3 linked regions of the Ovis aries genome follow. The protein of the gene in region 2 purifies or fractionates together with the protein of the main gene of each other region. This does not show direct contact. Links are inferred from orthologs where the notes say so. Each region holds a gene or a part of one and is shown on either strand. Other genes may lie near its edges. The genes, in order: CHD3, ZNF219 and CDK2AP1.

The links.
Region 1: the proteins of ZNF219 (region 2) and CHD3 purify together in Homo sapiens (affinity purification with mass spectrometry; 3 studies listed by BioGRID and IntAct, counting the BioPlex papers as one, with this or other methods). This does not show direct contact. The link is inferred for Ovis aries from reciprocal best matches to the Homo sapiens genes ZNF219 and CHD3.
Region 3: the proteins of ZNF219 (region 2) and CDK2AP1 purify together in Homo sapiens (affinity purification with mass spectrometry; 3 studies listed by BioGRID and IntAct, counting the BioPlex papers as one, with this or other methods). This does not show direct contact. The link is inferred for Ovis aries from reciprocal best matches to the Homo sapiens genes ZNF219 and CDK2AP1.

What each region holds. Positions count from the first base shown.
Region 1 is NC_056064.1:27,402,570-27,406,213, forward strand, and holds part of CHD3 (chromodomain-helicase-DNA-binding protein 3), read left to right. Parts: intron 1-331; coding exon 332-509; intron 510-949; coding exon 950-1,015; intron 1,016-1,465; coding exon 1,466-1,551; intron 1,552-1,679; coding exon 1,680-1,813; intron 1,814-1,942; exon of another isoform or gene 1,943-2,082; intron 2,083-2,366; coding exon 2,367-2,511; intron 2,512-2,646; coding exon 2,647-2,809; intron 2,810-2,923; coding exon 2,924-3,045; intron 3,046-3,143; coding exon 3,144-3,279; intron 3,280-3,391; coding exon 3,392-3,493; intron 3,494-3,644.
Region 2 is NC_056060.1:24,325,766-24,329,509, reverse strand, and holds the start of ZNF219 (zinc finger protein 219), read right to left. Parts: upstream 2,669-3,744; 5' UTR 2,587-2,668; intron 1,807-2,586; exon of another isoform or gene 1,261-1,806; coding exon of another isoform or gene 1,180-1,260; exon of another isoform or gene 1,158-1,179; intron 612-1,157; coding exon of another isoform or gene 465-611; intron 350-464; coding exon of another isoform or gene 239-349; intron 1-238. Other genes in the region: TMEM253 (transmembrane protein 253), read left to right, coding at 239-349, 465-611, 1,180-1,260. UniProt on the Homo sapiens protein: Transcriptional regulator. Recognizes and binds 2 copies of the core DNA sequence motif 5'-GGGGG-3'. Binds to the HMGN1 promoter and may repress HMGN1 expression. Regulates SNCA expression in primary cortical neurons.
Region 3 is NC_056070.1:52,354,413-52,358,056, reverse strand, and holds part of CDK2AP1 (cyclin-dependent kinase 2-associated protein 1), read right to left. Parts: intron 3,290-3,644; coding exon 3,163-3,289; intron 467-3,162; coding exon 399-466; 3' UTR 1-398. UniProt on the Homo sapiens protein: Inhibitor of cyclin-dependent kinase CDK2. Also acts as a component of the histone deacetylase NuRD complex which participates in the remodeling of chromatin.

The sequences.
Region 1 (3,644 bases), on a different chromosome or scaffold from region 2:
GTTGTGGGACCTCAGACAACTTGGTCTGAAGGATGAGACTGGACACTGGAGAAAACATAGGCACAGAATGTAGTGATCAATTTGGAAGGCTGCCTTCTGAGTAGAGTAGGAGGGAGGCATAGAAAACTGGAGGAGAGGCTTAGAAAAGAGAAGTAATGGGAGGAGAAGCAAGTTGTAGGTAAGAGGTGAGGATAGCGTGCCGCGTCTGGAGGATTTATGTGTCTAGAGTGACGAGGTCTGGGGCTGGGCTGCAGAAGGAAAGCGGGTTCGTGGTGGTGGTGGGGCTGGGTAAAGGGGCAAGGTCTTCAGTGTGGGTCCTGCTGCCCTTCAGATTGAGGAAATTGAACGAGAGATCATCAAGCAGGAAGAGAACGTCGACCCCGACTACTGGGAGAAGCTGCTGCGGCACCACTATGAGCAACAGCAGGAAGACCTGGCGCGGAACCTCGGCAAGGGCAAGCGGGTCCGCAAGCAGGTCAACTACAATGACGCTGCTCAGGAGGACCAAGGTGAGGACTGTGCCCGACAGGGGAGAAGGGGAGCGTGCTGAGAAGGGGCTTGGAGGCTGGGGGCATTGAGAGGAAATGAGTGGCTGAGCAGTCAGGGCCTTCCCTTCTTAGGGGAAAGAGATTAAGACCCTAGGAGGGGTCACCAGGGGCTCCCTGGAGGCCAGGTGGATTTGAGGTGACTTGAACGCTCTTGCAGTCGCAGAGGGCATTGATGGACACCCAAGGGCCTTTGTTTAGAGTGGGTTATGCAGGTGTCAGGCAGTGGGGGTGAGTGGACCTGCTATGTAGCCCAGATTGTGGGCAGCCCTCCAGCATCTCTAGGAGGGCCAAAGCTGGAGTGAAGGTGCAAAAGTCTCTGAGGGGAGGTGTCCAAGCAGAAAGGGCCCCATGTGGGCTTATCCAGGGAGCCATCACTGACCACTGAGCCTTTCTCCTCACAGATAATCAGTCAGAATACTCAGTGGGATCAGAAGAGGAGGATGAAGACTTTGATGAGCGTCCTGAAGGTGGCATCTGTTTTCCTTTTTCCCACACCTCTTCCCATTTCACTTCCCATTGTCTTTGAAGCCTACTGTTTTTATAGAGTGCTCACTTGTAGGAAAAGTAAAGATTGCAGATAAGCAGAGAGGAGAAAATATCTATAATTTCGTTACTGCTAAAATTTGAAATATATTACCTTGTAGGCTTTGACACCTAGATGAGAGATCAAGAAAGGTTACATCATTTTACACTCCAGCAGTAATCTTGGCTTGCATCAAATAGTTGCTACTGATTGTTTAGAATGACTTGATTCTTTTGGACCTATGGGGTTGGTAGTTCTGGGAAGAAAATTAGAAGTGCCTCAGACATGACAGGCATTCCTTGTGTTGCATGTCCTATGGACATGGAGAGCTAGGAAAGACTGAGGGGTGGAGGACATGCTGGTCTACTAACGAGGGTCACCATCTCCCCACCAGGGCGTCGACAGTCAAAGAGGCAGCTTCGGAATGAAAAGGATAAGCCACTGCCTCCACTGCTGGCTCGAGTTGGGGGCAACATCGAGGTGAGAGCTGGCCTAGGCCCCAGCGGAGAGAATGAGGGGAGTTGAGGCTGAGTCACTGAGGGCAGAACAGACCAAGAAATGAGGCCCTGGACATTCATCATCCACTCCCTCCTTGCCCCCATCCTCAGGTACTGGGATTCAACACCCGTCAGCGGAAGGCCTTCCTCAATGCGGTGATGCGCTGGGGCATGCCCCCGCAGGACGCCTTCACCACCCAGTGGCTGGTGCGGGACCTCAGAGGCAAGACTGAGAAAGAGTTCAAGTGAGTGTGGGTGACCTGGGGCTGAGCTGGGGGGAAGGGCAGGAGCTTTGGGTGTTATTTTCTTCCTTTCGGCCGCCATATGATGTGACCTTACTCACCTGATCACCATGCTCCCTGCCAGATGTTGCCTGGCTCGGTTTCCTAGGGGGTGGGCTCAGCCTCTGCCACCTCCCCTCAGCTGAGCCTAGAGCAGAGAGGCCAGGCAATCCCTGCTGTGGGAGAGGCAAGTGAGACAGGAGCCTCTCCTGGACTGTCCTTGCCTCACATGCTTTGGCCACGATAACCCAGCAGGGGAGCTGGTGGGAAGGATGAAAAGCAGACTGATGGGGCCTAAGAGTGAAGGACCAGGGCCGGGGGCCATGGAAATGTGGGGGGGGGCAGGCGGGGGAGTTAGGATTTGGGGGAGCCCATGATGGTGAAATTGAAAGACCCAGAGACGAGCCCTGGAGGTACTGGGGAGCTCAGGTTCAGGGTTCAGTCATCCCTGTACCCCCTTCACTGTCCTTTCCCCTCCTAAGGTTCTCCTGACCCACCTCCCCCGCATGCTCCTTAGGGCCTATGTGTCTTTGTTCATGCGCCATCTCTGTGAGCCTGGGGCAGACGGCTCTGAAACCTTTGCTGACGGAGTCCCTCGGGAGGGGCTGAGTCGCCAGCAAGTGTTGACCCGCATTGGAGTCATGTCTCTCGTCAAGAAAAAGGTATTGGTCTTCCCCTCACCCAAAGAGTCAGGTCAGAGGGGCTGCCTAGGCCCCATGCGTCCTCAGCCTTCTATCCCTGGCTCCGGGAGCCAGACTGGAACTGATCCCTGTTCTGCAACCCCCTGCACCCTGTAGGTACAGGAGTTCGAGCACATCAATGGGCGCTGGTCTATGCCAGAGCTGATGCCTGACCCCAGTGCTGACTCCAAGCGCTCCTCCAGAGCCTCCTCTCCTACCAAAACATCTCCTACCACTCCTGAGGCCTCGGCTGCAAACAGCCCTTGCACCTCGAAACCTGGTAATCAGCTCAGGATGACAGGAGAGACCGACGGGGCCAGTTTCCATCAGATGCAGAGGGCGTGGAACTGGGGTGGGGAGTTCCTGCCTTCTTCACTCTGCCTTACCCCTGCAGCTACTCCAGCTCCCAGTGAGAAAGGAGATGGCATAAGGACACCTCTGGAGAAGGATGAAGCAGAAAACCAGGAGGAGAAGCCAGAAAAGAATAGCAGGATTGGGGAGAAGATGGAGACAGAGGTGTGTGGCTGCCTGGCTGCTTTGGAGGCAGTGGCAGTGCCTTGGAGGTGGGAGCCTAGAGCCCTCCAGGTCATCCTGACTCCACTGTCTTCTTCCAGGCTGATACCCCCAGCCCATCCCCATCCCTGGGAGAGCGGCTAGAGCCAAGGAAGATGCCTCTAGAGGATGAGGTGCCAGGGGTACCTGGAGAGATGGAGCCTGAACCTGGGTACCGGGGGGACAGAGAGAAGTCAGGTGGGTGCATGGCCTTAAGTGTGATTGGGGCTTAGAATTTGGGGGCTCCCTCTTCTGGGGTCAGGGGATGAGGGTGACATCCTTCCTTCCTGTCCCCTGCCCCCTCCCACAGCCACAGAGTCGACGCCAGGAGAGAGGGGGGAGGAGAAGCCGATGGATGGACAGGAACACAGGGAGAGGCCGGAGGGGGAGACAGGGGATTTGGGCAAGAGAGGTAATGGGTGGAAGAATGGGACCCCTGGGTCCTTGAGGGATCAGGGGAGGTGGAATCTGGGGAACCAAACGCCTGGGTGGGTAGCTCTTCAAGGGCCCGTACAGTACAGAGAGGAGTCCTGGGACCCGGGTGGAGACTGTCCCCCGAGATG
Region 2 (3,744 bases):
CACACATGCACATCTCAGTCTAGGAAGTGAATTTCTAACTGTTGACTAATTATGTCAGCTCTCTGCCCATGACTGGCCTAAAACCCTGAGGGGGTAAAATAAGAAAGTTAAAGGGCTGATGGTCTTGTTTGGAGGTGGAGGAATAGGAGCTGAGTTTTGTTTTCAGCTAGGCTACAGGTGGGGCTTGAGGTTCCAATGAGTCCCCTAGGCTGGCAGGACTCAACTGGCTCACTGGCAGGTGCGCGCCATGATGATATTCAACACCTTTAATCTGATCTCGGGCTTCATCGCATTGGTGGTTGAGGTGATGAAGACAGCCTTGATGTCTGCCCGAACCATCCCCTCCGAGGTACAAGTGAATAAAGGAGAATGTGGGAGGATGTGGAGGCAAGAGGAGGGGAAAGGACAAGGGCAGATAAGTGCAGGGTCCCCTGCAGCACACCCTCAGCCCCATCTACCTACAGCTAGCTGGCTTGTTGGTGCTGGAGCTCAGCGCTGAGGCCTTCACCCTAGGGGGAGTGCTGGTCTCAGCATACTCCCTGTTCCTGCTGAGCCAGAGGAAGCCAAGATGCTGCAGAAGCCAGAGTCTTCGCTACCAGGAGCTACAGGAGGTATTGAGGGCTGGGAGGAAGCAGAGAGCTAGAAACTTATTTTTTCACTGGCTATTCTGGTCAATGGTACTTAAGGGAGAATAATGTGGTGGGGCAGGAGGGGTTGTTAAACTGAAACTTATTAGTTTTCTGGCTTTGGACATGTCTCTCCTAGTGATGGCTAGGAGACTCAGATGGTAAAGCGTTTGCCTGCAGTGCGGGAGACCTGGGTTCGATCCTTGGGTTGGGAAGATCTCCTGGAGAAGGAAATGGCAACCCACTCCAGTACTCTTGCCTGGAAAATTCCATGGACTGAGGAGCCTGGTAGGCTACAGTCCATGGGATCCACAAAGAGTCGAACACGACTGAGCGACTTCACTTTCCCTTTCTCCTAGTGATGAGTAACAGGAAACTGAGTATCTAAATGGTTGGGGCTAGAAATGTGGGAGAGCATTAGGAATGTGACTAAATACTGGAAGGACTATGTGAACATAAGGGAAAAAATGGGAGAGGAGGAAGCTGCATCTCTCTGGGATTCCTCCTTTCTCACCCTTGATGTTTGCTCACCTCACAACTGTCTGGTTTTCAGGGCCTCTCAGAGTTGGAGGAAGTTCCTGAGTTGGAGACTGGTCCCACAGTGGCTAGCACAGCAAAGAGAACAAATGAGTGAGCTGGCAAGTGGAAGCAGACATGTGCTGCCCTCCTATCCGATGGGAACATTCTCCAGACTCTCCTGCACCGCATCCCCCTGAACTCCAACTAGATGGAGTCCCCCGACACATACATGAAGTCTTGTGGAGTGCCTTCAATTTTCCCTCTGACTAGGCCCCTTGCTTTACCCTTCCCTGCTGGGGAAAGCAACACCTAGAGTGAGTCTGCCATCACCTCACAGCCCTGAGAATCTGACTGCCTGCAAGATAAGACATCCTTAAACTAACTTTCAGCTAGATCCATTTCCTCCCTTCCATTCTTACCCACTGCCTCCCCAGCTTCACATCTGCCTCATCTCACTGTTTCCAAGATTTCCACCTTTCACAATCCCATTCACTCCAAACCCGGGTTCCTGTACACGCCCACTCTCTGAGATCCATTCACCACTGGTGCTTCCGTTCTCTCACTTCGATCTGGTGCCTTTCTACTCTAGCAGAAACTACAAATCCCAGGATGCCTCGCCGCCCCGTGGCCTGCTGGGAAATAAAGAGCCTTTCCTTCTGTGGTGGGGGCGCTGTGCATCTGCTGAGTGACGCGAGGCGCTGGAAATCTGGGCCTAGACGAGCGTTTCCTCGGACGCGACCACTGGCCCCGCGTGCAGGGAGGAGCCGGGAGGGCAGTTTTACACGGGGGCGCCACCACTCCAACCTCGGTAACTGAGAACTGACTGGGGTTCTATATTCCTCCATCTGGTAGCTTCGGAGACCGGCTGGGGTTGAGGGCTGCCCCTCGGCAGAGCTGGGGTTTCCCAGATGCTGTCTCCGTGCCCCCTCCCACAGTGCCCAGGTCCAAAGTCCTGAGACTTGGAGCGCGCGCGAGAAAGGGGTTGGAGATGATGAGTCAGAAGCCCAGGGCCCTGCTCATCCCCCTCCCCCGGGGCCTAGGCGCCTGAGGAGGACGGACTGGCTGGGCAGACGGGGTGGACAGGGCAGGAAGAGGGAGGGACACGGCGACCCAAGCTAAGGTTTTCCCGCCTCTTGTGAGCTAGCCGGTGTAACGATCCCGCGTTGCAACCACCCTTTCCAAGGCGGGAGCGATACTGCGCAGGCTCAGCCTCTCGGCAGCCCTGCCGACCTTTGATCGCAGCTGCGGCGCGCTTGCAGAAGCTCTGGTTGTGCGCAACCCCCACCGTTTATGATCTTTGCAATTGTGCAAAAATGGCAAGTTCAGGTGGGCTTGAGAAAAGCCCAGGAAAACGAGGGCACCCAGTAGCACCAACCCGACAGCTTGCTAGCCGCTAGAGAAACTAGAAATTGACCAGAGCTGCAATACTAAGAAAACTCACCCCAAATTCACATAGTGCCGGGATGGGTGTGCGCCTCACACTCATTTTTGTTCCCACTTGAGAAGGCTGCTTCTCCAGACTTAACCAAGCCCAGGCACCAGTGAGGAAAGAGCGCAGCCTGGCTGCATTGCCCTGACATTGCAGTGGAGCCCGCTGTTTGTGACACCTTGGGAGTGGTAATAGTTGCCCTATGACAAGATTGTGTGAGTATTAGTGGGTGGGGACAGTTCTGGGATTAGGCTGTGGAATGAGGAAACAAAATCTCCCTCACTCCCCCAGTCTAAATGACAGAATAATGGAGAGCTCATCTGTGAAGCACTCACAATAATTTTCCTCAAAATCAGAAGGTGGTGGTAGCTGAAGAAGCTAGGAATAAAAGTCAACAATTCATTCTTAACTGTCTTCCACATAGGAGCAACAAGTTTTAGGATATGATCAGATATCTAGGAATTGCATTTTAGTTCTTGGAAAAGTTCAGTTACCATGCAGATAAACCTTGTATCAGGTTAGACTAGGTTGTGCTGTGGTAACAATGCCAAAATCTCAATGGCCTAAACCCACAAAGGTTTACTCTCTGGCAGGGTGCTCTGCTCTTTGTAAATTATTCAGGTACCCAAGTCCATAGACCACCACCATTATGAGATACAACCATGTCAGTTCAGTTCAGTTCAGTTGCTCAGTTGTGTCAGACTCTCTTCGACCCCATGAATCGCAGCACGCCAGGCCTCCCTGTCCATCACCAACTCCCGGAGTTTACCCAAACTCATGTCCATCGAGTCGGTGATGCCATCCAGCCATCTCATCCTCTGTCGTCCCCTTCTCCTCCTGCCCCCAATCCCTCCCAGCATCAGGGGCTTTTCCAGTGAGTCAACTCGTCGCATGAGGTGGCCAAAGTATTGAAGTTTCAGCTTCAGCATCAGTCCTTCCAAAGAAATCCCAGGGCTGATCTCCTTCAGGATGGACTGGTTGGATCTCCTTGCAGTCCAAGGGACTCTCAAGAGTCTTCAACACCACAGTTCAAAAGCATCAGTTCTTCGGCACTCAGCTATCTTCACAGTCCAACTCTCACATTCATATATGACCATTGGAAAAACCATAGCCTTGACTAGATGGACCTTAGTCGACAAACTAATGTCTCTGCTTTTTAATATGCTATCT
Region 3 (3,644 bases), on a different chromosome or scaffold from region 2:
TCAGCTTGTGGAAAGGAACACAGAACAATCTGGGTTAACATAAATGTATTCAAAAGAAAACCAGACACTGGTATCTTAGAGTCAAAACTACTTTGCTGTAAGAGAGGTAACTTCTACGTGCATCTTTTGAATCAACGCTTTTAAAAAAAGAAAACAAAACCACAAACACCTGGGAAGTTCCTAACTATTTCAAATGTAACTCCTAATCAATTTCAAAATCTTTCCTCAATCTTAAAGAGACTGTAGATTCAGAGCCTAAGTGAACATGGGAGGGGCAGGGGAGGAGAAACTGAACTGGTTAACCATTTTGAAAACAAGAGTTTCATCTGAACAAGGGAGGTGAACCGTAACTTCTCCTCTGGGAAGAAGCTGGAAAACCTTCCAGGCTCAAAAGGCAGCTAGGACCTGGCGTTCCGCTCCGTTTCAGCCAGGCACTCCCGCACCAATCCTCGGGCATGGATGATGCCTGGAAGAGAAGCAGAGACGGGCGTCAGAGGGCAGCACCAACTCCAGGAGTGGAGAGCAGTCCTTCCGCAACCAGCTGCAGAAACCTCAGACTGGAGAGAACGTGGGACCTGCGTTCTACGACCCAAACCCCATCCTATCCCTCAAAGCCAACACTCCTCGTCACATCTCCCTTAAAGTATTTCTTCCCATACTCAAGATGACAAATCAGCAAGCTCTTTTCTTGACATTACTCGCTACACAAACCATGTTACCATCCAGATGCCAGGAATAAGTGTCTCCACCCAAGTTCTTTAAGTGAGGACCCATGATAGAGATTGCAGGCCAAGTCGCTTCAGTTGTGTCCGATTCTTTGCAACCCTATGGACTGTATAGTCCTCTAAGGCTCCTGTCCATGGGTTTCTCCAGGCAAGAATACTGGAGGGTTGCCATACCCTCCCTCCAGGGGATCGTCCCAACCCAGGGATCGAACACACATTTTGTCTCTTGCATTGGCAGACAGATTTTTGACCACTAGTGCCACCTAGGAAGCCCACTATGGAGCTTTCAAACCATTATTTTTCCTAAATTCTACAAAGGACTTGGGAGTGTCAGATAGCCTGCCCAGATCTGGGCACAAGACGAAGGCTCACTCAGTCCACCCTGGTCCACTGCTTCATCCTTTCTGCTAGGGACTGGTGCCATCTACGATGTGATTTTCCCCTCATCTTTTATCACTATGGTTTGGGAGTTATCGTTTGTTTGGGTTTTGTTTTTGTTTTGGCTTTACTAAACTTCATGAAACACTTACTTCATTTTAATTGACACCAAGAATCTATTCCTCCTAAGAGCTGACCCCGAGAGGGCCCTAGGAATGACACCCCACATCACTCAGGTATCCCCACCTCACAAATCTTAATCCCCAGAGCTTCTGAAGACTTTGAGCAAAGGGCGTATGTACAGCCAACCATCACAGCTGCTGCACTCTGCCATCATACCATGACAGAGCCAAGACATTTCACATTCCAACAAGTCTCTGCTTAAACCCTGAAGTTTGAATTTCGCAGAATTTTGACATGTCACAGAGTTTTTTTCCATCGTTAAAAACCACAAATAGTTCAGTCTCAGGTTTTGGCACCAAAAAACAAAACAAAAAACATAAATAGGAACTTCCCTGGTGGTCCAGTGGTTAAGACGCCACACTTCCACTGCAGGGGACGTGGGTTCCATCTCTGCTTGGGGAACCAAGACCCTGCGTGCTGCGTGGTGCAGCCAAAAAATAGAGTAATAAAAATACAAATCGCATTCTTGGTGCCTGATTCCCCATGCCCTAGGACCCTCCTTCCTTGCTATGATGTAAACTTGGCAAGCTCTCTCAGCTACTGGTCAGGGCAACTGTGGGACTAGGTGCTCACCCAGGATGTGCCCTGCGCCAGTTGCTAGGTGTATCCATGTGTTGATCTGAACTGCCAGCTTTGCTGGGTGGCTGCAGATAGCCCTTCAGACAGACTCTGGGGCTCAGCATTTCCTCAGGCATGCCCAGTTAGGTAACCAGCACTCAGTTTACCAGGACTGTGGGCTGAGTGATGCCCCCATGACCCCTGCGGTTGGGCTGGGGTCAAGCTCATTCTCTCCCCCAAGGCCTCTTCCAGCCCCTACTGCCAGCCTCCCCTCCCTACACCAATGCCTGTTATTCTCTGATCTGGCTTTGCAATCAGTCTCTTCACATAGGTAGTCACCACCTGTCCTCAGCCAGCCTTGCCCATCACTAGAGCCGTGGCTTGATTACCACCGTGGCCCCCCTGCCGTCACGCCCCAGATTTACAGCCACAGAATGTTCCCCTCTCGTTTTTCTCCAAAGTTGCTTCTCTAACCTTAAAAAAAAAAAAAAGAAAAGAAAAAACCCTCCTAAAATTAAATTCGCACATAAGCCACCATGCTCTGAACTGCTACCTTCTAAAATAGAAATCCTTTTCTCCTCTCCTCTCCACTCCCCTTTCACTTCGTGAAGCAGCAACCAACCTATTTCACTGCCTTCTGAAGTCAGCTGGCCAGTCACATCTTCACGTGAGTCCCTTCCTCCCGGTGACACCAGCCTTCCGCCCTCCCTCCCTCTTCAGTCACGAAAGAACTTCAAAGTGCTCTCACCCTCTGCCCCACACCCCTCCTTGGGGCCCTGCTCCAGAGAGGACAGCACAGGGCAATGCAGGCCCCTTTGGCCCCAGGTCTCCCCCCTAGGGGGGGCCCGCTGTACTGGGCTGCCTGGGGCTCCCAGGACCAGAGTCGGCCAGTGGGAGTGAAGCAGGCATGAGGCAGAGCTGCGGGATCTGGGCACAAAGGCTTTTTTGGGGGGGTTGTGCAGCCTATGGGATCTTGGTTCCCCGACAGGAATCGAACCTGCACCCCTCTGCAGTGAAAGCATGGAGTTTTGACCACTGGACCCCACCCCGCCCAGGGAAGTCCCAAGGCTTCCCTTCTCAGATGCCGCATCTGACAATTGGCCGCCAAGCCTCTTCCCTTCAGATCCCCCAGGAGGGTCTAGCTCATGTTGCCTCAACAGTCACTCTGAAACAAAATGAGCGCCCCTGTGCCACAGGGGATGCTTCTGTCTGCCACCCTCCGTTTTCCCCAAAAGATCTTTCAAGACGAGAGCCAGTGCCGGGGGTCAGCCAGCAGAAAGGCATCACCCACCAGGGGAGTCCAGGGTCCATGACTTACCTCGTTTTAGTCTCTCCATCGCACTCTTGCTGCCCGCATAGGTGGGTCTGATCTCCTTCCCCAGCTCTTCGATAATGGCCAGCAGCTCAGCATATTTGCTCTGGGGCACCTGGCTGTTCCCAGTGCCCTGCAATCAGAAAGCAAAGTGTTCAGAAGGATTACACCCAACCTGACCCCAGTGCCACAGTCAGGACCCCAATGCATGCCAGTGGCACAGGGCAACAACTACAGACCAGGGAGCTGGCCCTCTCTATTGTCTCTGTAACTCAAGGCCACCGCCCAGCAGTCTCCAGAAGGCCCTCTGATCATCTCAAATAAGGAAAAAAGAGTCAACAGAAAGGTGATCATTGAGAATTTCCTGGAAGGAGCCACGACTAGGCAAGTGATCCCAGGAGAGCTGGGGATCCAGGGTGAATGGCTGAGATGGACGCCACACCTGGGGGTCAGCAGGACTAGAAAAACTGCCAAGGCCACCCAGACAG